Linked DNA regions of Schizosaccharomyces pombe. The gene in region 1 interacts genetically with each later gene. Each region holds a gene or a part of one and is shown in the gene's direction. Other genes may lie near its edges.

Evidence for each region.
Region 2: mutations in adf1 (region 1) and pan1 impair growth when combined (synthetic growth defect), as found in Schizosaccharomyces pombe (one study listed by BioGRID).
Region 3: mutations in adf1 (region 1) and cdc3 are lethal when combined (synthetic lethality), as found in Schizosaccharomyces pombe (one study listed by BioGRID).
Region 4: mutations in adf1 (region 1) and end4 impair growth when combined (synthetic growth defect), as found in Schizosaccharomyces pombe (one study listed by BioGRID).

The regions. Positions count from the first base shown.
Region 1 is NC_003424.3:4,823,440-4,827,930, reverse strand, and holds adf1 (cofilin), read left to right. Parts: upstream 1-1,804; 5' UTR 1,805-1,853; coding exon 1,854-1,856; intron 1,857-1,907; coding exon 1,908-2,013; intron 2,014-2,176; coding exon 2,177-2,481; 3' UTR 2,482-2,674; downstream 2,675-4,491. Other genes in the region: C-24(28) sterol reductase Erg4, read left to right, coding at 1-1,248; fmp40 (adenylyltransferase), read left to right, coding at 3,282-4,491. UniProt on the Schizosaccharomyces pombe protein: Controls reversibly actin polymerization and depolymerization in a pH-sensitive manner. It has the ability to bind G- and F-actin in a 1:1 ratio of cofilin to actin. Binding to F-actin is regulated by tropomyosin.
Region 2 is NC_003424.3:4,312,362-4,320,682, reverse strand, and holds pan1 (actin cortical patch component protein PanI), read left to right. Parts: upstream 1-1,975; 5' UTR 1,976-2,077; coding exon 2,078-7,462; 3' UTR 7,463-7,565; downstream 7,566-8,321. Other genes in the region: cdc8 (tropomyosin), read left to right, coding at 479-496, 556-1,023; tif302 (translation initiation factor eIF3b (p84)), read right to left, coding at 7,927-8,321.
Region 3 is NC_003424.3:2,577,139-2,581,303, reverse strand, and holds cdc3 (profilin), read left to right. Parts: upstream 1-1,778; 5' UTR 1,779-1,825; coding exon 1,826-1,838; intron 1,839-1,887; coding exon 1,888-2,220; intron 2,221-2,276; coding exon 2,277-2,314; 3' UTR 2,315-2,348; downstream 2,349-4,165. Other genes in the region: tif303 (translation initiation factor eIF3c), read left to right, coding at 1-1,084; SPOM_SPAC4A8.14 (ribose-phosphate pyrophosphokinase), read right to left, coding at 3,532-3,684, 3,727-4,165. UniProt on the Schizosaccharomyces pombe protein: Binds to actin and affects the structure of the cytoskeleton. At high concentrations, profilin prevents the polymerization of actin, whereas it enhances it at low concentrations. By binding to PIP2, it inhibits the formation of IP3 and DG.
Region 4 is NC_003424.3:3,132,571-3,139,843, forward strand, and holds end4 (clathrin adaptor End4), read left to right. Parts: upstream 1-2,416; 5' UTR 2,417-2,554; coding exon 2,555-5,863; 3' UTR 5,864-6,096; downstream 6,097-7,273. Other genes in the region: DNA polymerase zeta catalytic subunit Rev3, read left to right, coding at 1-1,750; SPOM_SPAC688.12C (uncharacterized protein), read right to left, coding at 6,152-6,655; scn3 (TatD DNase family Scn1), read left to right, coding at 7,154-7,273. UniProt on the Schizosaccharomyces pombe protein: Required for cellular morphogenesis and polarization of the cortical cytoskeleton. Required for establishment of new polarized growth zones where it acts in actin organization.

The DNA.
Region 1 (4,491 bases):
TTTAATGATTCGCAGTTTATTAAACCAGAATCTTTTACGATAGCAGGATTTCAAAATTTTTTTAGAACGTTAGGCCATTATATCTACGTCGGTGCCTATCCAACACGGTATGCATTCTTGGTTTTTTGGTCGTTTTGTATAGTTCAGGCTGTCATGTACTTAACTCTTCCTGGTGTTCGGACGCAAGGTTTGCCTTTAAAGCATCGCAATAACGAACGTCTTCCTTACTTATGCAATGCTATCTGGTCTTTTTACACGACAATTGTTATTCTTGCCGTTCTTCACGTGACCCACGTATTTCCAATTACTACATTTATCGACATGTTCGGTCCTTTGATGAGCGTTGCAATAATAACCGCTTTTGTCTGTACCTTTGTTTTGTACACTGGAACTTTGCTTTTTGGTGATCGACTTTTTGATAAACCTCATCGGTTATCTGGAAATCCCATCTACGATGCCTTTATGGGAGCTTGCTTGAATCCTCGCCTTGGCAAATTGCTTGATTTTAAAATGTTCTTTGAAGTTCGTATCCCTTGGTTTATCCTATTCTTTATTTCCGTTGGTGCTGCTGTTCGTCAATATGAAACTTATGGCACTGTAAGTCCTCAGGTACTTTTCGTTTGTCTTGGCCATTATTTGTATGCAAACGCGTGCTCGAAGGGAGAGCAGTTGATTGTTCCAACTTGGGACATGGCTTATGAAAAGTTTGGTTTTATGCTTATCTTTTGGAACATGGCTGGGGTCCCATTTACTTATTCACACTGCACCCTTTACCTTTTTTCGCATGATCCATCTGTTTACAACTGGTCAACTCAATATACAACCGGTATTTATGTTTTGCTTCTTTGCTGTTATTATATATTTGATACTTGCAATGGTCAAAAAAATCATTTCCGTAATCAAATTTATGGTACTGAGGTTCATCGCAAAACATTTCCCCAACTTCCCTGGCTTATCATCAAGAACCCTACCTTTATTCGTTGTGCAAATGGCGGTACTTTGTTGACTTCAGGTTGGTATAGGTACGCTCGTAAAATTCATTATACTGCTGATTTCTTTCAATCATTGTCATGGGCATTGATCACCGGTTTTCAGTCCCCTCTACCTTACTTTTACCCATGCTTTTTCTTTGTAGTCCTTGTGCATCGTGTTTCACGTGATATTAAAAAGTGCAAAGCTAAGTATGGGGCTGATTTCGATGAGTATTGCCGTATATGCCCTTACTTATTTATTCCCTATATATTTTAGAAATGTCTTTTTAGTCCCTTCTTTACTTAATAAATTGGCTATTCAAAATTCCACTTGAAGTGTTTTTCTACTTTAAAATTCAGTTAATTTTTGTGAAAGTTCTCAAATTTGATTGAGTAGCTGGAACATTCCTTAAGTTATGAACGAACAAAGTAAGCAGCTCTGACCGTTTTTTATACAATCTATTTCTAGACTTAAAAATTATTAACTTCCAAGTCTTTTTGCATAAAGATTTTTGGAAATAGCGTAAGGAATAGCTAATAAATAGTAACAATCATCTTGTTTCTTCATAGCGATCCATTTACAGTTAAATTTTTTTTTGCATTAGTTCACTCACTTGCTAGATATATAAATTAGTGTGGAATATTTAGGCGGTAGTGCATACGCATAACCATTTGCTATTATTTTTTTGTAGAACTGTATGTTTTTTCGCTTATATTTAATAAGGGTCATGCAACATAATAATAAGAAATTATAGACTCTGCTTGTTTAGAGTAGTGCGCCACCCTTACTTGGGGCGACGGTATCTACTGATGCGAGTAGCCCTCCCCTAACCAAACCAGTGCCAACCACACTAGCTTACCCGCTATCAGTAAATAAATAATATGGTATGAAATATTTTTGTTAACTTTACATCGTGTTTATTTAACATACATTAGTCTTTTTCAGGTGTCAAAGTCTCTCCCGAATGCTTGGAAGCTTTCCAAGAGCTCAAGCTTGGAAAGTCACTCCGTTACGTAGTTTTCAAAATGAACGATACCAAGAGTAAGTGACGAAAACGATTTAGATGGAATTTGAGAAAGTCCAATATCCCTTTTTTTAAAAATAAATTTATTTATCTACATTGATATATATTTTATGTTTGTAATGTCTTTCTATGTCGTTTTTATAATTATGTGGAACCTTTCACTAATTTTTTTTTGTTTAGCTGAAATTGTTGTTGAAAAGAAGAGTACGGATAAGGACTTCGATACTTTCCTTGGTGACTTGCCTGAAAAGGATTGCCGTTATGCTATCTATGATTTTGAGTTCAATCTCGGAGAAGGTGTTCGTAACAAGATTATCTTTATTAGCTGGTCTCCTGATGTTGCTCCCATTAAATCTAAGATGGTTTACTCTTCTTCTAAAGATACTTTACGTCGCGCTTTTACTGGAATCGGTACTGACATCCAAGCAACTGATTTCTCCGAAGTTGCTTATGAGACAGTTCTTGAGAAGGTTACTCGTAAGTAAAACACTTTTGGTTACGATTTCTTGACTCATGCGTAATACGAAATGAAATTAAATAACTTCGTTTCGGTATGCAAACCGATCCTTCAACGCTCCTTAAATATCTTTTTCTATATATTTAGAACTATAAATACAAAGATTTAAGTGTACGTTGGTTTCCTGTTGATATTTAATTTGTCAATAGTATATCTACTTTAAAAAATTTGTCATGTGATAACGGATGAGTCGGTATATGAAAAACACTGCAAGTTATTTGCCAATGTAATTGACAAGCAATCATAGAGAAATTAGTTCTACGCAGTTTCCACCACTAGCTGAAATGTTTGAGTGCCTGGGTGCTTGCAGGTTTTTATTCATCTACTTCAAGTATGGTATAGTAAGTAAGCTTAGTTTTATTTTCTCAGTTCCGACTTTTTAATTCTGTAGATTTCATCTACCACTATTTAGTCATTGAAATTGTTACAAATATTCCTCTATATATAATGATTCTGCATTCCTAAAAATGCTAATTAACAAATTACGAAATCCAACGATCTACAAAGTAATGCCATTCCATATTAATATAACAATTGCTGTTCATTCGCTATCATTTTAAAATGATGTTTTCATTAGTTTGCTCATTGATCACATAGCATGTATTTTACCAGCTATTTTCAACGTACTAGTCTACTTGATCTGTTATTGATCAAATGTAAGTGAATTGCTGCTTTTATTGTTATTATAATCAATAAAGTAAGCAAATTTACACTGGGGCACAATCAAACATTGGTATGCAAAGAACATTAATTCGATATACCAATACGATGTCAAAAAAATTGAAGGATCTCCCTGTCAGCTCAACGTTCACATCAAATCTTCCGCCTGATCCACTGGTACCGACCGTACAGGCAATGAAAAAGGCTGATGACAGAATCTTACATGTTCCTCGATTTGTGGAAGGCGGCGGCTTATTTACTTATTTGACTCCATCACTAAAAGCCAATTCTCAATTATTAGCTTATAGCCCTTCGTCCGTGAAGTCATTAGGACTCGAAGAATCTGAAACTCAAACTGAAGCTTTTCAACAGCTTGTTGTCGGTTCTAACGTTGATGTCAATAAGTGTTGTCCTTGGGCGCAATGTTATGGAGGATACCAATTTGGGGATTGGGCAGGTCAGTTGGGTGATGGCCGCGTAGTATCCTTATGCGAACTTACCAACCCGGAAACTGGAAAACGCTTTGAGATTCAAGTCAAAGGCGCAGGAAGAACACCATACTCTCGATTTGCAGATGGAAAGGCTGTTTTAAGATCTAGCATTCGAGAATATTTATGTTGTGAAGCTTTATATGCTCTAGGCATTCCAACAACACAGGCTCTGGCAATTTCCAATCTTGAAGGTGTTGTAGCACAACGTGAGACTGTAGAGCCTTGCGCCGTTGTTTGCCGTATGGCCCCTTCTTGGATCAGAATTGGGACTTTCGATCTCCAGGGGATTAATAATCAAATTGAGTCTTTACGGAAATTAGCCGACTATTGTCTAAATTTCGTTTTAAAAGATGGATTTCATGGTGGAGATACTGGAAATCGCTACGAAAAACTTCTTCGAGATGTTGCATATCGAAATGCTAAAACTGTAGCCAAATGGCAAGCATATGGATTTATGAATGGTGTTTTGAATACTGATAATACCAGTATACTGGGACTATCAATTGATTATGGACCTTTTGGATTTTTAGATGTTTACAACCCATCTTTTACACCTAATCATGACGATGTATTTTTGCGATATTCATATCGCAACCAACCTGATATTATTATTTGGAATTTATCAAAATTAGCATCTGCTTTGGTTGAGTTAATTGGAGCTTGCGACAAAGTTGATGACTTGCAATATATGGAACAACTTCATAACTCTACTGATTTGTTAAAAAAGGCGTTTGCTTATACTTCTGAAGTTTTTGAAAAGATAGTAGAAGAGTATAAAAATATTGTCCAGAATGATTTCTATGATCTTATGTTCAAACGAGTGGGTC
Region 2 (8,321 bases), 510 kb from region 1:
TGTGTAAATATGAAATTAACAAGCGGACCTCTTTATAATTGTATAACTAAATGATTAAATATTATTGATATATGCCATTTTTCTTTAGCAGTAGAGAGCTCTTAAAATTTCAGTCATAAATACAAAAATCAGGCATTGTTTAAATCACTTCATTCCAAACTTGAAAATCTATTGCAGGAACACTTCGATTATAATTTACAAATGTTTGACTACTGTTTTTAACTTTGCTCTTTTAACGCTTATTTCTTTGATGAAATTAACAATCTGGTGTGTTGTAAGCAAAGCCTCAACTTCTTTGTTCTTTGATGAACAAAGCGCTTTACTGTAGAGCTTGTGTGTATTTCTTTGTAATAAATTAGTAAATAGAACTTTCTTGTACCGTCAATTAATTCACCACCCTTACCGTGGTATATGCATGTCAAACACACCCATCGGTATCTTCCCTCCACCATCAAGGAAAGAAGGAAACAGTAGGAAAATGGATAAGCTTAGAGAGGTATGAGATGATAGCTTTTCATTGGAAAATCAAGTTGCTAATATTTGCTTTTTATTTAGAAAATTAATGCCGCTCGTGCTGAGACTGATGAGGCTGTCGCTCGTGCTGAAGCAGCTGAAGCCAAGTTGAAAGAAGTTGAACTTCAACTTTCTCTTAAAGAGCAAGAATATGAGTCTCTTTCGAGGAAAAGCGAAGCCGCCGAGTCTCAACTCGAAGAGTTAGAAGAAGAAACTAAGCAGTTACGTCTCAAAGCCGACAATGAAGATATTCAAAAGACGGAAGCCGAGCAGTTGAGCCGTAAAGTTGAGCTTTTAGAGGAAGAACTAGAAACTAATGACAAGCTACTTCGCGAAACCACCGAAAAGATGCGTCAAACTGATGTTAAGGCTGAGCATTTTGAACGTCGCGTCCAATCTCTAGAGCGTGAGCGTGATGATATGGAACAGAAACTAGAAGAAATGACTGACAAGTATACTAAGGTCAAGGCTGAATTAGATGAAGTTCACCAAGCTCTTGAGGATTTGTAGATAGCGAAAAGCTTGACGAACATAGAAGAAACATACCACCTTTTTTATATCTTCTATTTGCTGTCATTCTTTTTCTTTCTTACTTTGTCAACTAGCTAAGTTCGACCTCACTTTTTATGGTTTATATTTAGCGAAAAATGATTTGATTTTGGTATGGAACACTGTTTTCTTTCTTTAGTCAACTTACTGGTGTTACCTTTTTACGAGAATCAGTATTTATGATATCAAATGTCTGAGTATTGTAAATTGAGAAGAAATGTGCCCTTATCTTCCCGATTCCCACCACTTTCCCTTCTAACTTAAATAACATTTTGTAAGCATAACTGTCTTAATGTTATCTGAATGATAAGCTTTTATTTTTTTTCGAATGCCAACTCTTTAATAAAGACTTCTATATGATAAATACCGTCTTTATCTTTCCTTTTTTTTACGATGTAAATATTGAAGTTTGCTAGGCTGAAATCGGTATTTTGTAAGTTGTTTATACACGTCTACCTTAAAGTAATTCGTGCAAACGAGTGGTCGTGCTTTTGTTAGGGGATCATTATAGTTAGGTTTGTCTTACTTTATTGTATGAATGACATTCATCTTCAGCGCGGGTTTTTTAAAATCAATCTATTTTGCAGAATCACAATACCTGTTAAACTCACATTTTCTATGAATTTACCTATTTGTTAAATTGCCTTTTATTTTATTTTATTATTTTTTTTTTGGAAATCCGATATCCGTACACGTTGAAGAGCATTGTTAGGCATCGTAAGCATAATCAAAGTTGAATCAACTAAAAACATAAGATGTTAACGTAAATAAAAAGAATATCTTAATGTATTGACATGTATTGCCATTTACATGTTCTACTTGATATAAATTTACATAAACCTTTATCGGAATAACGAGGTACAGGGTTTGCGTTAATGTGCTACTTTGGTTAATGTAGACTTACCGTCGGCTTGTCAACTACCAAAGAGCAAAGAAGGCCAAAGGAACATTTAATATTATTAATTTGGCTTAATAAGAGGGTGCTCATTCAATAATTTCTCCTTCATATCGTAGTATGTCATATCCAAATCAGATGAATGGATCGATGTACGGATATGGCGCGAATAATGGAGTTCAACCAGGTTTTGACAGCTATGGTATGCCTATAAATCAAGGCGGTATGAATTACCAGCAGCAAACATATCCATACCAACAGCCTTATCAACCTGATGGCTATGCTGGTAATACGATGCTACCTTTTCAGCAATCACAACCAGCTACTCAGTTTAATAATGGATTCGGATATGCTTCTCAGCCTACGGGGTCTGTAGCCGATTATGGCCAACAGCAGCAGCAAATGTATGGCTATAATGGGATGATGCCTCAAACAATGAACAATACAGGTTTTATGCAACCTCAGCAAACTGGAGCTATACCTGGATTTGCCCCCCAACCTACGGGGTTTGTGCAACCGCAACCTACAGGGTTTATGTCGCAACAGCCTGCTTCATTTATGCAACCGCAAAGGACTGGTGGTGCAGGCTTTATACAGCCTCAACGGACTGGAGCAATGCCGGCATATCAACCTCAAATGAATAACTTTATGCAACCCCAAAAGACTGGTGGATTTGCTCCACAAGCAACTGGCTTTATGCAGACTCAACCCTTTGGGGCTGCTCCATCGTTTGCTCCACAACCTACTGGATTTGTTCAACCTCAGCAAACTGGTGTAGTAATGCCACCTCAACCCACTGGATATTTGCAAGCTCAACCTACTGGACCTTTTGCATCTTTTGTTCAACCTCAGCAAACTGCGTCCTTCATGCCTGCTGCACAGCCCCTTAAACCTCAAAAGACTGGTCAAATTCATAATAGTAAAGCGATGGACACTAGATTATCATTCGTCTCTGCTGCTGATCAGGCCAAATTTGAGCAACTTTTCAAATCTGCTGTTGGTAGAGAAGAAGCAATGTCATCTGAGATCGGTAAAGCAATACTTGTTCGTTCTAAGCTTCCTACCGTTCAGTTATCAAAAATTTGGAGGTTATCAGATACCACCCGCTCTGGTCGCCTTTTGTTTCCTCAATTTGTATTGGCTATGTATCTTTGTAACTTAGGACTTACAGGGAAGCCCATACCTGATAAGGTTCCGGATGGGATTCTTAATGAGGTAAATGCCATGGTAGATGCAATTTCATTTTCGTTGGATGAAAATTACGCAAAACCAACTCAGCCAATTCCACAAGCTGCTGCTCAGCAGATGGCAGCTCAAATGTTTGGTGGATTCCAGCAAGCTGCTGGTATACCTTCTCAAATAACCGGATTTCAGCCGCAGGCGATGATGCCACAGCGCACTGGAATGCAGCCACAGATGACCGGATTTCAACAACCTATGATTCCTCAAAGAACTGGCATGCAGCCCCAAATGACTGGATTTCAACAACCCATGATGCCTCAAAGAACTGGTTTGCAACCACAGATGACTGGATTTCAACAACCTATGGTTCCTCAAAGAACTGGCATGCAGCCCCAAATGACTGGATTTCAACAACCCATGATGCCTCAAAGAACTGGTTTGCAACCACAGATGACTGGATTTCAACAACCTATGGTTCCTCAAAGAACTGGCATGCAGCCCATGATGCCGGGTTTGCAGCAACCGATGGCTCCTCAAAGAACTGGCATGCAACCCATGATGCCTCAAAGAACTGGTATGCAACCTCAAATGACTGGATTTCAACAACCTATGGCTCCCCAAAGAACCGGCATGCAACCCATGATGCCTCAGAGAACTGGTATGCAGCCTCAAATGCCAGGTATGCAGCAACCGATGGCTCCCCAAAGAACTGGCATGCAACCCATGATGCCTCAAAGAACTGGTATGCAGCAACCGATGGCTCCCCAAAGAACCGGCATGCAACCCATGATGCCTCAGAGAACTGGTATGCAGCCTCAAATGCCAGGTATGCAACAACCGATGGCTCCCCAAAGAACCGGTATGCAACCCATGATGCCTCAGAGAACTGGTATGCAGCCTCAAATGCCAGGTATGCAGCAACCGATGGCTCCCCAAAGAACTGGAATGCAGCCGATGGCGCCTCAGAGAACCGGTATGCAACCCATGATGCCTCAAAGAACCGGTATGCAGCCTCAAATGCCAGGCATGCAACAACCGATGGCGCCTCAACGAACTGGCATGCAACCCATGATGCCTCAAAGAACTGGTATGCAGCCTCAGATGCCAGGTATGCAGCAACCGATGGCTCCCCAAAGAACTGGAATGCAGCCGATGGCACCTCAGAGAACCGGTATGCAACCTCAGATGACTGGTGGTCCTATGCTTCCCCAGCGCACTGGTGGTATGGCACCTCAACCAACCGGAATGCCTGGTCAATGGGGCTTCATTAATACTCCTTTAAGTAATCTTCCTGGAATTGAAGCATTAGGACAGCAAATGATGCCAAATGCTCCTTCTGGAGGCCTTAACAATACGTTTCAGCAGAAGAAAGATATTCCTTGGGCTATCAGCAAAGAAGAAAAACGAATTTATGACCAAATTTTTGATGCTTGGGACAAGGAGCGAAAGGGTACCCTTGGTGGCAACGCAGTTTTGGAAATTTTTGGTCAAAGCAAGTTAACCCGGACTGAGCTTGAGCATATTTGGAACTTATGTGATCACGGTGACAAGGGTTCTTTAGACCGTGATGAATTTGCTGTTGCCCTTCATTTGATATATCGCAAATTGAATGGTAATGAAGTACCTGCCGTGCTTCCCCCTGAGTTAATTCCTCCTTCTACTAGAAACTTTACTGAGTCGTTGAATCAAGTTAAGAACCTAATTAAGAATGACACGAGTAACAGAAAACCTTTTGGCGCCGAAAATCAAAGCAAACTTAAGAAGAATTCGTTTTATGACAATCCTAGCGAAACGACTGAAAAGGATGCTACATTGTATCGGCACAATGATTCTGATGCATCTGCATATGTTTCTAGTGCTCGAAGAAGAGATTTTAAGGAAGAAAAGATTGAATCTGCTCCTCCTATTATTAATGATATTGATTCTGAAATAGCTTCTCTTAAAAAACGAATTCATGAAAAGAGTCTTGTTGTCAATGCTCTTGAAGATAAGAAACTGGCTGCTACTCCTGCCAATGACGTTCAAAATGACTCTTTAATTTATCGCATTAAATCTGTTCAAGATGAGATTAATCGACTTTCTACTTCTAACAAGTCACCTGAAGTTGCTTCTATGAATGTGCGATTAGAAGAGCTGAGCACCCGTGTCTCTAAAATGCTTTCTGATATTAATGAAGTTGATCATACAATTGCCAGCTTGTCGCTCAAACTTTTCCAAGCAGAGGATACTAAAAATTCTTATGACCAAACATCTCCAGAGGCTACCCAAGAACGTAATAGAACAATTTCTTCGAAGTTAGCAGAAATGGAGAAACAAAAGAATGAATCAAAGGCTGCGCTTGAGCAAATGAAAAATTATGTTACCAACATTGAGAATAACATTAGAGCAAAACTTCTACCTTCAGCGGCAAATGATGATGCTTGGCTATCTCAGAACGTTGTTGATGAATCTGTCACGCGTGTTGTCAAAGAGCTGCCTGTACCTGCCCCAGCAGCACCTCAAACTTTGAACCCTCCCTCTGTTTCCACAGTTCAACAATCGAAGCCCATTGAATCAAATACGCACACTCCCGAGGTTAAAGCTACTTCTGAATCACCATCAGCTTCGTCTAATCTTGAAGATCGTGCTGCTCGTATCAAGGCTGAAGCCCAACGTCGTATGAATGAGCGTTTGGCCGCTCTTGGTATAAAACCTCGTCAAAAGGGTACACCTTCTCCTGCACCAGTCAATTCTGCAACTAGCACACCAGTCGCCGCACCCACTGCTCAACAGATTCAACCCGGAAAACAAGCTTCAGCAGTTTCTTCTAATGTACCGGCTGTTTCAGCTTCTATTTCTACTCCTCCAGCTGTGGTTCCCACTGTTCAGCACCCCCAGCCGACTAAACAAATTCCAACAGCAGCTGTTAAAGACCCATCTACTACTTCTACGTCCTTTAACACAGCTCCCATACCTCAACAAGCACCACTGGAAAATCAGTTTTCAAAAATGTCACTTGAACCACCTGTCAGGCCAGCTGTTCCCACTTCTCCTAAACCGCAAATACCGGACTCATCGAATGTGCATGCTCCACCACCTCCCGTTCAACCTATGAACGCAATGCCATCTCACAATGCTGTTAATGCAAGACCATCTGCTCCTGAAAGACGCGATTCATTTGGCTCTGTTTCTTCAGGATCCAATGTTTCCTCAATTGAAGATGAAACCTCCACTATGCCCCTTAAGGCAAGTCAACCAACCAATCCAGGTGCACCTTCAAACCATGCTCCACAAGTGGTACCTCCGGCACCAATGCATGCTGTAGCTCCGGTTCAGCCGAAGGCGCCCGGAATGGTTACAAATGCTCCAGCTCCATCATCTGCGCCTGCACCCCCTGCTCCTGTTTCACAGCTACCTCCAGCGGTACCAAATGTTCCTGTTCCAAGTATGATACCCTCTGTAGCTCAACAGCCTCCCTCTTCGGTGGCTCCTGCCACTGCTCCTAGCTCTACATTACCTCCATCCCAATCTTCTTTCGCTCATGTTCCTAGCCCAGCGCCGCCTGCACCTCAGCATCCTTCTGCGGCAGCTTTGTCATCTGCACCAGCAGACAACTCCATGCCTCATAGATCATCACCTTATGCACCTCAAGAACCTGTTCAGAAGCCTCAAGCGATAAATAATATAGCTCCTGCTACCAACTTGGGAACTTCGCAATCTTTTTCACCTAGGATGGGTCCTGTCAATAATTCAGGTTCTCCGTTGGCAATGAATGCTGCAGGTCAACCTTCTTTAGCCGTTCCTGCTGTTCCGTCAGCCCCTTCAAATCATTTCAATCCATTCGCTAAAATGCAACCACCAGCTCCTTCTCCTCTTCAACCTAGTGGTCACGATTCTGACAATTGGAGTCAACATGGTGATGAAGAAGAAGAAGATAGCGAAGATGACATACGTTCAAGTAAAGATGCAGCTGCCTTAGCCGCCAAATTATTCGGTGGTATGGCTCCTGCTCATCCTGTTTCAACACCTCCTGTAAGACCTCAATCGGCGGCACCACCTCAAATGTCTGCTCCAACACCACCACCTCCTCCTATGTCAGTACCACCACCTCCATCTGCACCGCCAATGCCTGCCGGTCCACCGTCTGCTCCACCACCACCTCTTCCTGCTTCATCGGCTCCTTCTGTTCCCAATCCAGGAGATCGTAGTGCTTTACTTCAACAAATTCATACTGGCACTCGGTTGAAAAAAACGGTTACGACGGATAAAAGCAAGCCCATAGCAGGACGAGTTTTAGACGCTTCTGACGGCAATTCATCCGCTTGGTATGGGAATTTGTCTTAGTGGCTTAACTTTTGTTTGTACTCATATCAAACGTTGAGTTTTTGTAGTGTTTCTAATTTTTATGCGCTCTTTATGAATGATATATTTTCTCATTCTGCAGCTATCAATTATCTCTTTAAATTGGCTTGTTTATACTTTATTTACCAATAAAATGTTTATGTTTAAATCTCTAGAGTGCATTAAGACAATATGAATTTAGAAACTTTCTTGAGTCAAATAATACTCGGACATTCACAAAACTATTAAGAACGCTATATTACTTATATACAGTAGTATGTAACGCAAATGCAATTCCATTTAAAAGGACTAATGTAAATATAAATTTCCCCATACAGTACCAATCGAAACGCAAATACACGTCCAGGAACACATAATTGCGGCAACAAGATCATGATTTTAATCAAGTAACATCCGATTTCGAAGAAGGCCCCAATTTTTTTATGACAAAAGGTAGCGTAAAGCCCTTAATCTTCAACGGGTTCTATCTCTTCAGAGATTACTTCCTCAACCGTTTCCTGAATTATTTCTTCTTCTTCAGCAGGAACAGTGATAGCAGGTTGGCCAGTGATTGCACGTTCTTCCGCAACCCGAGCAATAACCTCATCCCTATATTTCTGCCACTCACTAATGAGCTGTCTTCTACGGGCTGCCAATTCACGATTGGCGGAACTCTGTTCGGCGATATCCTCTTCATCAAACAAACGATTATAATCCTTAAGTTTCTTTCTAATTTTCTTCATGTCTTCCTTTGTCAATGGAGAAGGAGGTCTCGGACGCCAGATAAACTGCTTAAATTCTCCAATCATTTCTTCACGAAGAAGTGTGCCCCTAAAATCGCAAAGTCTGTAACCGTTCTCAA
Region 3 (4,165 bases), 2.2 Mb from region 1:
TTCCCTATGTGTCTATCTTTATAATAATGGTGTCAGTTTACTTCGTACCCGTGCTATGCTGTGTCATATTTATCATGAAGCATTGCAAAATCGTTTTTACAAGGCTCGTGATATGTTACTTATGTCGCATTTACAAGATAGCGTGCATGCTGCCGACATTGCTACTCAAATTTTACACAATCGCACTATGGTTCAAATTGGTTTGTGTGCTTTCCGCAACGGTATGGTTCAAGAAACACAGTATGCTCTTCAAGACATCTCTACTACTGGTCGTGTAAAGGAACTCCTTGGACAAGGCATACAAGCACCAAAGTTTGGACAATTTACACCTGATCAGGATCGTTTGGATAAGCAGTTGGTTTTACCTTTCCATATGCACATAAATCTAGAACTGCTTGAATGTGTTTACTTGACTTGTTCTATGTTGATGGAGATTCCCGCAATGGCAGCTGCTAGCTCTACTGCTTCAGATTCTAGAAAGCGTGTAATCAGCCGACCCTTCCGTCGTATGCTTGAATACATTGATCGTCAGCTTTTCGTTGGTCCTCCTGAAAATACCCGCGAGTATATAATGCAAGCTTCGAAAGCATTGGCAGATGGTGAATGGCGTCGTTGTGAAGAATTTATTCATGCTATTAAGATTTGGAGCTTAATGCCTGATGCTGACAAAATTAAGCAAATGCTTAGTGAGAAGATTCGGGAAGAGGGACTACGTACATACTTATTAGCATATGCTGCTTTTTACGATTCTGTTTCTCTTGAATTTTTGGCTACGACATTTGATCTTCCTGTTCAGCGTGTTACTGTTATTGTTTCTCGGTTATTATCTAAACGTGAGATCCATGCTGCTCTTGATCAAGTTCACGGTGCCATCATTTTTGAACGTGTTGAGATTAACAAGCTGGAAAGCTTGACTGTTTCTCTTAGCGAGAAAACTGCACAATTGAATGAGGCAAATGAAAAGCTATATGAGCAGAAGACCCAACACACTAATCCTCAGGAGAACAGACGTCGTGATAAGGGTGGCTCGGTTAAAAGACGCAATGAACGCACCGAAAATCGGAATCGTTCAGACATGAATTAAAGTTGTTGTGCATCGGTGAAAAATAGGGCGATCTAATTTCAATAAAATGAATGACTATTTGTCTTTGAAGAAAGTATTTAACTATCAGGTGGTTTCCATAGATCAATAGACATCTGAGTTACTTCATAGTGGTTTTGTTACAAACGTTAATCGGAAATAATGTAGTTTACCGTTTGGTAATTATCTTCAATTGTAAAGATACTTTGCTTCGAAAGTCTGAATCTGTTGACCATTATACACGTTTACAGTAAGCTATTTCTGCAAGCTTTGTTCTTCAGTTTCATATGGTCGCCTTTTTTCCATCGACTGAAAACAGACATGATGTGTGTAATCGAATTTTTGGTCGCTAGTACGAGCTCAATCTATCGGTGTATGGTTTGAAGTTGTTTTCTTTAAAAAATCTATTACTGAACGAAGTATCTCTAATTGTGTTGTTGAACCTCTAAACAAGAGTTCTGAAATTCTATTGAATACTTCTGAAGTCGTATTAAGCATAACAATCCTTACACAATACATTCACACGATCTTGAATGGTAAACCTCTAACGAAGTCAACTGCGATAAGTTTCATATTATTTCTAAAAATGAGGGAAACTTTATAAGAATTTTTTTATCAATGTTAGAACGTCTTAGAGCACCTTAAATTGGTCATAGGTTTCAAACGCATGTAGAACGGGTAGCTGCTACTTTCCGTCACCCTACTACTACAAGTTTTCCTATCTCTAAACCCAGATTTGCAAAAATGTCTTGGCAAGGTTTGTATATCCTCTAGATATTATTACGAATAATATCTAACTTATTTAGCTTACGTTGATACTTCTTTGCTCGGTACTGGAAAAATCGATCGCGCTGCTATCGTCTCTCGTGCTGGTGACAGTGTTTGGGCTGCTTCTGCTGGATTCAATCTTTCTCCTCAGGAAATCCAAGGCCTTGCCGCTGGTTTCCAAGATCCACCTAGTATGTTTGGCACTGGTATCATTTTAGCCGGTCAAAAATACATCACTATTCGAGCTGAAGGACGTTCTATCTATGGTAAATTACAGAAAGAGGGCATTATTTGTGTAGCTACTAAGCTTTGCATTTTGGTTTCTCACTACCCTGAAACAACCCTTCCAGGAGAAGCCGCCAAGATTACTGGTAAGTTTTTCTCAGTTTACTATTCTTAATTAGCACAATTATTAACAACGCAATAGAGGCTTTAGCTGATTATCTTGTTGGTGTTGGGTATTAGATTTTGACATGACAATCAATATTACTGCTATTTCATTTAAATTATCAGATAAAAGTAGTTTTGGATCCTTTCTCATTTTTGAACAGGTTTCTGTTAGTAGGATGTATATCGTTTGTAGAAGATTGCCATGTGTAAATAACAAATGTTAAACTTTTTACTTTCCGTTTGCGAAATAATATTGCGTACAAATTAAAAGCAGTGCAAACATTTTAACTACTAACTTGAGCCAAATTACATTATATGTAAATAAACACAACAATATTTAGATATTTATCTTTTCGCAAAAAAGAGGGTTTGAATAGGAAGAAGTCAGTTCATTAAGTGGAGGGTAACGTGATAGATTTATCTACATAAGCAATTGCAAAAAATCAAGTACTACATATACTTATAAAAATTATTTTACAATGATCCATACACTAGACAAGCCAACAATCTTGACTGTGTAAAAATTCTTTGCAAAAAAAGTGCTCCCGGCGAGGATCGAACTCGCGATTTCCACGTAACACACCTCCTAAGGGGAGTATCATATAAGCATGAGGCCTTAACCAGCTTGGCCACGGGAGCTGTTGCTTGATTTGTAGCAAACTATATAGTATATATAGTGTGTTTCGCAAAGTTGAAAATATGACAAAAAAATAAAAACAAGTTGTAAACAAATGTATTGTTAAGAAGTTAAACGACATTTTCTTTTAATCTTTTGAGATTCTTTTTTTTTTTTTTTTTTTTTAATAAAACTTTGGTTTTTGATAGTTCATTTGAAGAAACTCAGCTTTTCTGAATTTAACAAATTATGTTTGCAATTTACTTACATTATTAAGTGTTTTGGTATATTAAAATGCCAATGAAAGAGTTGAACTGGCCTAATAAATTTTAAAGTAACTTCTAAATTGCTACCAATTTTTAATTATTATTTTTTTTAATATTTTTATGCATTAATAAAACGTGAAAACCCTCGAATTTAAAGAAGTCCCACAATACGGGCAACTATATTTGTTACAAAATAGTGCTACTTCTTAAATTAGGTAAATAATTAGCGTACAGATTTTTCTATTCATTGGTAGACATTCTTCACACCAAGGTAAGAAACAGTGATATTAAACAAAACGTTACTTTTTGATATCCTATAACTTTGACTCAAAACCAAGTCTTCTAGAGCAGCATATTGTAGTTAAAATAACTAATTAAATTAACATGATAAATAAAGTAGTACGAAAATTTTAGAACGCTTTCTTAAACAAGAAGCTAATACTTTCACCGTTATGGGTACGGCGAATAGCCTCTGCAAGTACCCCACTAATATCAATAACAGTAAGTTTGTCACATTCCAGGACTGCTTGTGGTTTGATAGGATACGTATTGGTGACAACAATCTATTGTTACGTTAGTCAGCTTTCCGTGATATTTGACATTACCTGTTCAATGTATTCACAAGATTGCAAATCTTTTAAACATTTATTTTGAAAAATTCCATGGGTACCAATCACTATAACTCTTTTAGCTCCACATCGCTTAACCAAATGTTCGGAAGCGACAATGAAAGCTGTTGGATTTTCAATTGTATCGTCAATTAATAAGGCGGTTTTACCGTTCACATCGCCGACAAGGGTGATCATACGTTCAGCATAAATGGACGCAGACATAATGTTTTCCTCTTCATCATCATCACTGGGACATCCTCCCTGAGAATACAAATTAACTTCTTGAGCATAATCTTCTGAACAAACACTAGCTGGGGTAGTTATAATTTCTTCGTCATCGATAATATGTCCCAAAAGGTACTTAGCAGTATGGATACGAGGACGATCCAAATATACAGAACAATTAGTAACATGTGTTTCAGTTGCTTCTGTT
Region 4 (7,273 bases), 1.7 Mb from region 1:
GGGGTCCCAGTTTAAAGTTGAATCTATTATGTTTCGAATTGCAAAGCCTGAAAATTACATATTTCCATCACCTAGCGCTAAGCAAGTTGCTGAGCAAAATGCTTTAGAAGCGTTACCTCTTGTTATGGAGCCGAAGTCTGATTTATACAATAATCCGGTAGTTGTACTAGATTTTCAGTCACTATACCCCTCTATTATAATTGCATATAATCTTTGTTATTCCACATGTCTTGGACCTGTGAAAATAGTCAATGGAAAAGTTAAGCTTGGATTTATGTTTCATTCAAGCAATCCAAACATTGTGAATTTAATAAAAAATGATGTATATATCTCCCCTAATGGTTATGCATACGTTAAAGAGAATGTTAGAAAGTCTTTGCTCGCTAAAATGCTAGAGGAACTTATTGAAACCAGAAATATGGTGAAAAGAGGCATGAAAGATTGTGACTCGGACTATGTCAACAAAGTATTGAATAGTCGGCAACTGGCCCTAAAATTGATTGCAAACGTAACTTACGGATATACTTCAGCGTCATTTTCAGGAAGAATGCCGTGTTCAGAAATCGCAGATACTATTGTGGAAACAGGACGTGAGATACTTAGCTATTCACTAGAATACATAAATACTTTAGATTTTTGTCATGCAAAGGTCGTTTATGGTGATACCGATAGCTTATTTGTTGAATTACCTGGAGCGACTAAAGAGCAAGCTTTCGACATCGGACAGCAGCTAGCAAACAACATTACTTCCAGATTTCCTTCTCCAATTCGACTTAAATTTGAAAAAATTTACTTTCCTTGTTTCTTGTTAGCGAAAAAAAGATATGTAGGGTTCAAATTTGAATCAGTTAGTCAAAAAGCTCCAATTTTTGAAGCGAAAGGCATTGAGACAGTTCGAAGGGATGGTACTCCTGTTCAACAGCAGCTCCTTCGTCGTTGCCTTGAAATACTTTTTAAGACAAAGGATTTGTCAACGGTCAAAAAAGAATTTCAGAACGTATGTTATCAAATTATGAGTGGAAACGTTCCTGTTATGGATTTTTGTTTTTCAAAAGAAGTTCGTCTAGAAAAATATAAAGAATTAAGTACTGCTCCTCCTGGAGCAGTTATGGCTAGACGGTTGATGACCAAAGATCCTAGGAGGGAACCTCAATATGGAGAACGTGTTCCATATTTGATTATCGCTGCTGCTCCTGGTACCACCTTGGCGAACCGCTCAGTTGCACCCGAAGAATTTCTGTCTTCGAGTTTTTCTCAACTTGATATAAATTATTATATCAACAATAGTTTGATACCTCCATTAGATCGATTTCTAAACTTGTTAGGGGCTAGTGCCCAGTCATGGTATCATGAAATGCCCAAACCACGTACCAGTTTAAAATTGACTGAAACAGTGAAAGGAGGTATTCAAAAAAAGACTTTGGACACTTTTCTGATGGAGAAGCTTTGCTCTTCTTGCTTGAAGAATAATATTGAAATTATTCCTGATAAAATTAACTCCCTCTGCAGTGATTGCTTAAAAAATCCTTGTGCTACTATTTCTAAAGCTGTTACGCAGCACAATGCTTATAACAAAAAACTTTCCTTGCTATTTGATATTTGTCGAGGCTGCAGTAAGCTTTCATCTAGTGATCCAGTTCTTTGCAAGTCAAATAGCTGTAAGGTGTACTATGATAGGGCGAAAACTGAGAATTATGCGAAAGTACAGGCAGAAATGTTAACGAAGACTCTTGGTTCTTTAGACTGGTAAATCATTATAACTTCAAATATTGGTGTGAAGGACTTGAAATTAAAATACATCAGGCATTTGTTCTCTTATCACCTGCTAGTTTATTCATCTACGTATTATTTATTACAATTATTTATTTTTTTTAGAAGGTTATATCGATAACTAAAAATATTAATATCATCATGTTATTGGATTTTTTTTTTTTAGTTAAAATTTAGTAAACCTCTTCGTATTCTAGGGTGCGTAGCAATTCTTTATTTACTTTTTACTGTCCGCAATACTACGCTGTGATACTTTACGTCGCGTGTCACTATATGTCAAGTGCACTGTTTTGATTTATCAACTTGACATGATAAGTTATCAAGGTACGGTTACTAATTATGATAAAGTAACTATCACTTACTACATTCAAATTCTTAACACTATATATTGAGATAAACTGAAGTGAGGACGGGAATCGGTTTTTAGCTACGTTAGTGATAAGTAACAGATAATGTGTATTAGAATACTTACATCAATTGCTACTTATATTACCTCGTATTGCAATATAACAATCACAAGGAAGATTCAATACTGTTTTTAAGTATCGTTAAAATAGATACCGAAATACGTAGCTGATATTTGCGAGACAAATTACTTCGTAATTATCAAAATTCGTACGGGACACGGATGTCGTAGTTTTGAAACAGAACCAATTTCTATAGTAAGAACGGACAGAAGACAATCTTGTACATAGCACTACGATATTTGTATTTTACCAGAAATTGTTAGGATTTGAATTGGCAAATTTTTAATTACCAAAAGTGAGAAATCGAAAAGTACACGATGAGTTCGTTTCGACTGCAATCCGATCACATGCAGTCAGACGCATCGTTGATGACAAGCGTGCGGAAGGCTACTAGCATCGATGAAACAGCCCCAAAGCGAAAGCACGTTCGTAGCTGCATCATTTTCACTTGGGATCATCATACAGCCAGGCCTTTTTGGACTGCTATAAAAGTTCAGCCATTGCTTGCAAACGAAGTTCAAACTTTCAAGGCGTTAATTACCATACATCGTGTCTTGCAAGAAGGTCATAAGTCTGCACTTGTTGATTCTCAAAGTGAGAAAGGCTGGCTTAAAACTTGTGAACGACAGTATGATGGTGAAAGTAGTCCAAAGGGCTATAGCGATTTAATTCGTGATTATGTGGATTATTTACTTGATAAGCTTTCTTTTCATGCTCAACATCCGGAATTTAATGGTACTTTTGAGTATAAAGAATACATTAGTCTTAGGCAAGTCGATGACCCTAATGAAGGTTATGAAACTGTATACGACATGATGAATCTTCAGGATCATATTGATGAATTTCAAAAACAGCTTTTTTCTAACTTCAAGCGTTCAAATAAAAATGAATGTAGAATTGCAGCCCTTGTGCCTCTAGTTCAGGAGTCATATGGTATTTATCGATTTTTAACTAGTATGTTACGTGCTTTATATAGCACAGTTGATGCCCCAGAGACTTTGGAACCTTTGAAGCATAGATATAAGTCACAACACCATAGGCTTCGTCAATTTTACGCGGATTGTTCAAATCTTCGATATTTGACTAGTCTCATTTCAGTCCCTCGTCTTCCACATGATCCCCCCGATTTGGAAGGTGATGACAATATCCCTGATCTTCCTAAGAGACCTGCTTCAATTGCTCCCCAACCCACTGGCGCCTCGACCATTGCTCCTCAGCCTACTGGTACTTCTCCATCTCCGCCGGTTGAAATGAATTTTCCTGATACTAGCGACATTACTCCGGCTTATAGTGAACCTGAACCTATTCAAGATTTCTGGTCTGATCCTACTTTAGATCAACAATTGGCTGCTCAGCAAGCGGCTCAGCAAGCTGCTCAACAACAAGCAGAGTTAGCGGCTCAGCAGGCCGCAGCACAGCAGGCTCAATTAGCAGCTCAGCAAGCTGCCGAAATGGAGCGTCAACGGATGGCCGCACAGCAACATCAGCAGGCCTTGGAGGCAATTCAAATGGCACAAGCTGAACAACAGCGTATTGCGCAAGAACAACTTGCTCAGCAACAATTTCAAATGCAAACACAAGGACAGTTGGCTGAACTTGAGCAACAGCTTCTTGCTACTCGAGGACAACTTGAACAGAGCAATGTGTTACTTAATCAATATGATGCTAGAGTGAGAACTCTTGAAAATGAGCTGAGCCAGGCTGGCGTTAACTTGCAGGAGCAAATACATCAAAATGATGATCTTATTGAATCTTTAAAAAATCAGATTCTTACATGGAAAAACAAGTACGAAGCATTAGCCAAATTATATACACAACTTCGTCAGGAACACTTAGATTTACTTTCGAAATATAAACAAATTCAGCTCAAAGCAAGTTCTGCGCAAGAGGCTATTGACAAGAAAGAAAAAATGGAAAGAGAAATGAAGAATAAAAACTTGGAACTTGCTGATATGATTTTGGAAAGAGACAGGGCTCGTCACGAACTCGAGACTATGCATCGTAGTCAACGAGACAAGCAAGAAAGCACTGAGCGTGAATTACGTTTACTTCAGGAAAAGGCTGCTTCCCTTGAGCGCAATAAATCATCTGAAGTATCAAATTTGCTTAGTCGTTATAATACAGAAGTTGCTCATTTAGAAGATGCTCTTCATTCAAAGGATCGTGAGCTAGCCAACTTAGGTGTTGAATTGAAGTCTACTGAAAATCGGTACCGCCAACTTTTGCAGGAAAAGGAAGAAGAGCTGGAGATTCAAAAAGCAGCTGTCGACGAGTCTCTGTTACAGCTTAGCAAATTACAATTGGATCGTAATGACATTGATCAAGCGATGGATACTCAAATTGACGAGCTTTTGAAATCGCAGCTGGAGAAGCTTGATGACATAGTGGATTCTGTTTTGGCTACTGGTATCCAACGTTTAGACACTAGTTTGTATGAACTGGATTCACCGATGCATGCCGGTAATCAATATGCTACTCCTGAATTTATTCTATCTACTATTGAAAATGCTAGTAACAATGCTACTGATTTTTCGACAGCATTCAATAACTATTTTGCTGATGGGCCTAACGCTGACCATTCTGAGGTCATCAATGGAGTCAATCTTTTCTCCACGGCCATATACGAAGTTGCCAATAATGCTAAAGGTTTAAGTAGAACAACTGGTGACGACCAAGGATCGGATCGGTTTGTTGGCTTATCTCGGGATTTGGTAAATATGGCCAAACGGTTCCTTTCCAGTTTATTTTCCGTCAACACAAGAAAAATGGATGTAAATGTTAAAACAGATCTTGTAATTGGTGAAAATATAGAGTTACAACGCTATTTACAACAACTTACACAGTACTCTGAAAAATTCCTGAACAAAGAATCGGAAAACACTGTGGGATTACTCAATGCTCCCGGTGAAAACATTGAAGAACTTGTCGATAATCAACTGGCGGAAACAGCACAGGCTATTCAACAGGCTATTTTAAGATTACAAAATATCGCAGCAAAACCCAAAGACGATAGTTTGTCCCCTTCAGAACTGCAAGTTCACGATTCTTTGTTAAGCGCATCAATTGCCATTACCGAGGCTATTGCCAGATTAATTAAAGCAGCAACTGCTTCACAGGCAGAGATTGTTGCTCAAGGAAGAGGTTCCAGTTCACGTGGTGCATTTTATAAAAAACATAACCGCTGGACGGAAGGCCTTATATCAGCTGCGAAAGCCGTTGCGCGTGCTACAACTACTTTAATCGAAACTGCTGATGGAGTCGTAAACGGTACATCTAGTTTTGAGCATTTGATTGTCGCATGTAATGGTGTTAGCGCCGCAACTGCACAATTGGTTGCAGCCTCTCGTGTAAAAGCAAATTTCGCCTCTAAGGTTCAAGATCATCTTGAGGATGCTGCGAAAGCTGTTACGGAGGCCTGTAAGGCATTGGTTCGTCAAGTGGAGTCTGTTGCTCTCAAAGCTAAAGAGGTGCAGCATGAAGACTTCTCTTCATTGGGTGTTCATGAATATCGTCGTAAAGAAATTGAGCAACAGGTGCAAATTTTGAAGTTGGAAAATGATTTAGTCGCTGCCCGACGTCGTCTTTTTGATATGAGAAAAACATCTTATCATGTTGCCGAAGAGTAATTAAGTCTTTTCGATCCTTTTTATTTTTATGAATTAATTTTGGAAAGCCTTAAATACTCAGCTATTAGTGCTTCTATTTTTGCTAGGTCGATACGGGATGATAAATACATTGCGTTCTTTTCCGACCAATAGGCAGTATTAGTATATTTAAATTTTAAATGTAAATAAATACCATTACATATTGTGACACTTGTAGATCCTACTGATATACTAATGATCAAAGCAGAATGGCTAACCTACCGCACTATATCTCTTAAAGTAAAACAAACATAATCCAGATTTATTTTTCTACAACTTTTTCTTTTTCCTCCTCTCGGTTTTTTTCTCTTTCTTTTGCTCCTTCTTTTGTTCTTTCTTTTCTCGTTGTTCTTTTAAGCGCTGTTTTCTTTCAGCCAGTAGAGCCTCATCTTCAGGATTTGCGCAAGCAACTTCGAATAGTTTCCATGAAAGAATTAAACCTAGACCAGTCGCGCCAAAAACATAAAGATCTAAAGTAATCAATGTGGTCTGAACAAGTATGAATGTGATTATCATCTTAATGATGATCTCACGGCCTGACACATTGCTACGAACTTCTTTACGAATACCCAAAGGAAACCATCGAATTTTACCAGGGGGTCCAAATGAAATATGATAATTCCGTTTCGTGGGATTGTTAGAAGGACCCTTGGGCTTATAAATGTGAATTAAATTGATAAATGCTCCAATAAGGAAAATAGCTAGTCCAATTTTGTTATTCTTCGGATTCGAGAAAGTCTTTGTCAATTGATACGGAGATTCTTCTTCACTCATTGTAATTTATTTTCTATTATAGGAGATATAAAAGAAGAACCGTTCGTTCCAAATTAATTTGATCAAAGTATGGTGAATGAAACCGTCGGGGTGGAGGTTAGGAAAAATGTGGTACTACAGACAAAAAATAGAATAATTTGCCTCTCCCATAAACAGATATTCAAGATGTATTTTATCGTATGTTCTCAAATTACCTAGACGCTAACACTAATAAATAAATTTGAAAATATTATTGGTAAGGTGGTCACATGGAGGAACTAGTCAACGAAATAGGTATCTGCCCTTGAGCTTGCAGTAGACTAATTAAATTGAAGACGACTGTAATATTCAAGTTTTATCTTTATGTCATCAAGTAATTACCAAACAATGGGGAAACGAATGAAGTTGTTGAATTTCATTAGCATACACATGTTTTCGTCAACTCCAACGTTACTCTCCCTATCCCAACTATTTAAAGTACGGTGGGCAGAGAGCATTCTGTTAACTACAAATATCATTATGGAATCTATCATTGACGCTCATTGCCATCCAACTGATGCACCGCAAGAATTACATTTGGTTGCTAATCTTTCTGTTGGTAAATTAATAGTAATGGGAACCCGGCCGACAGATCAAAAG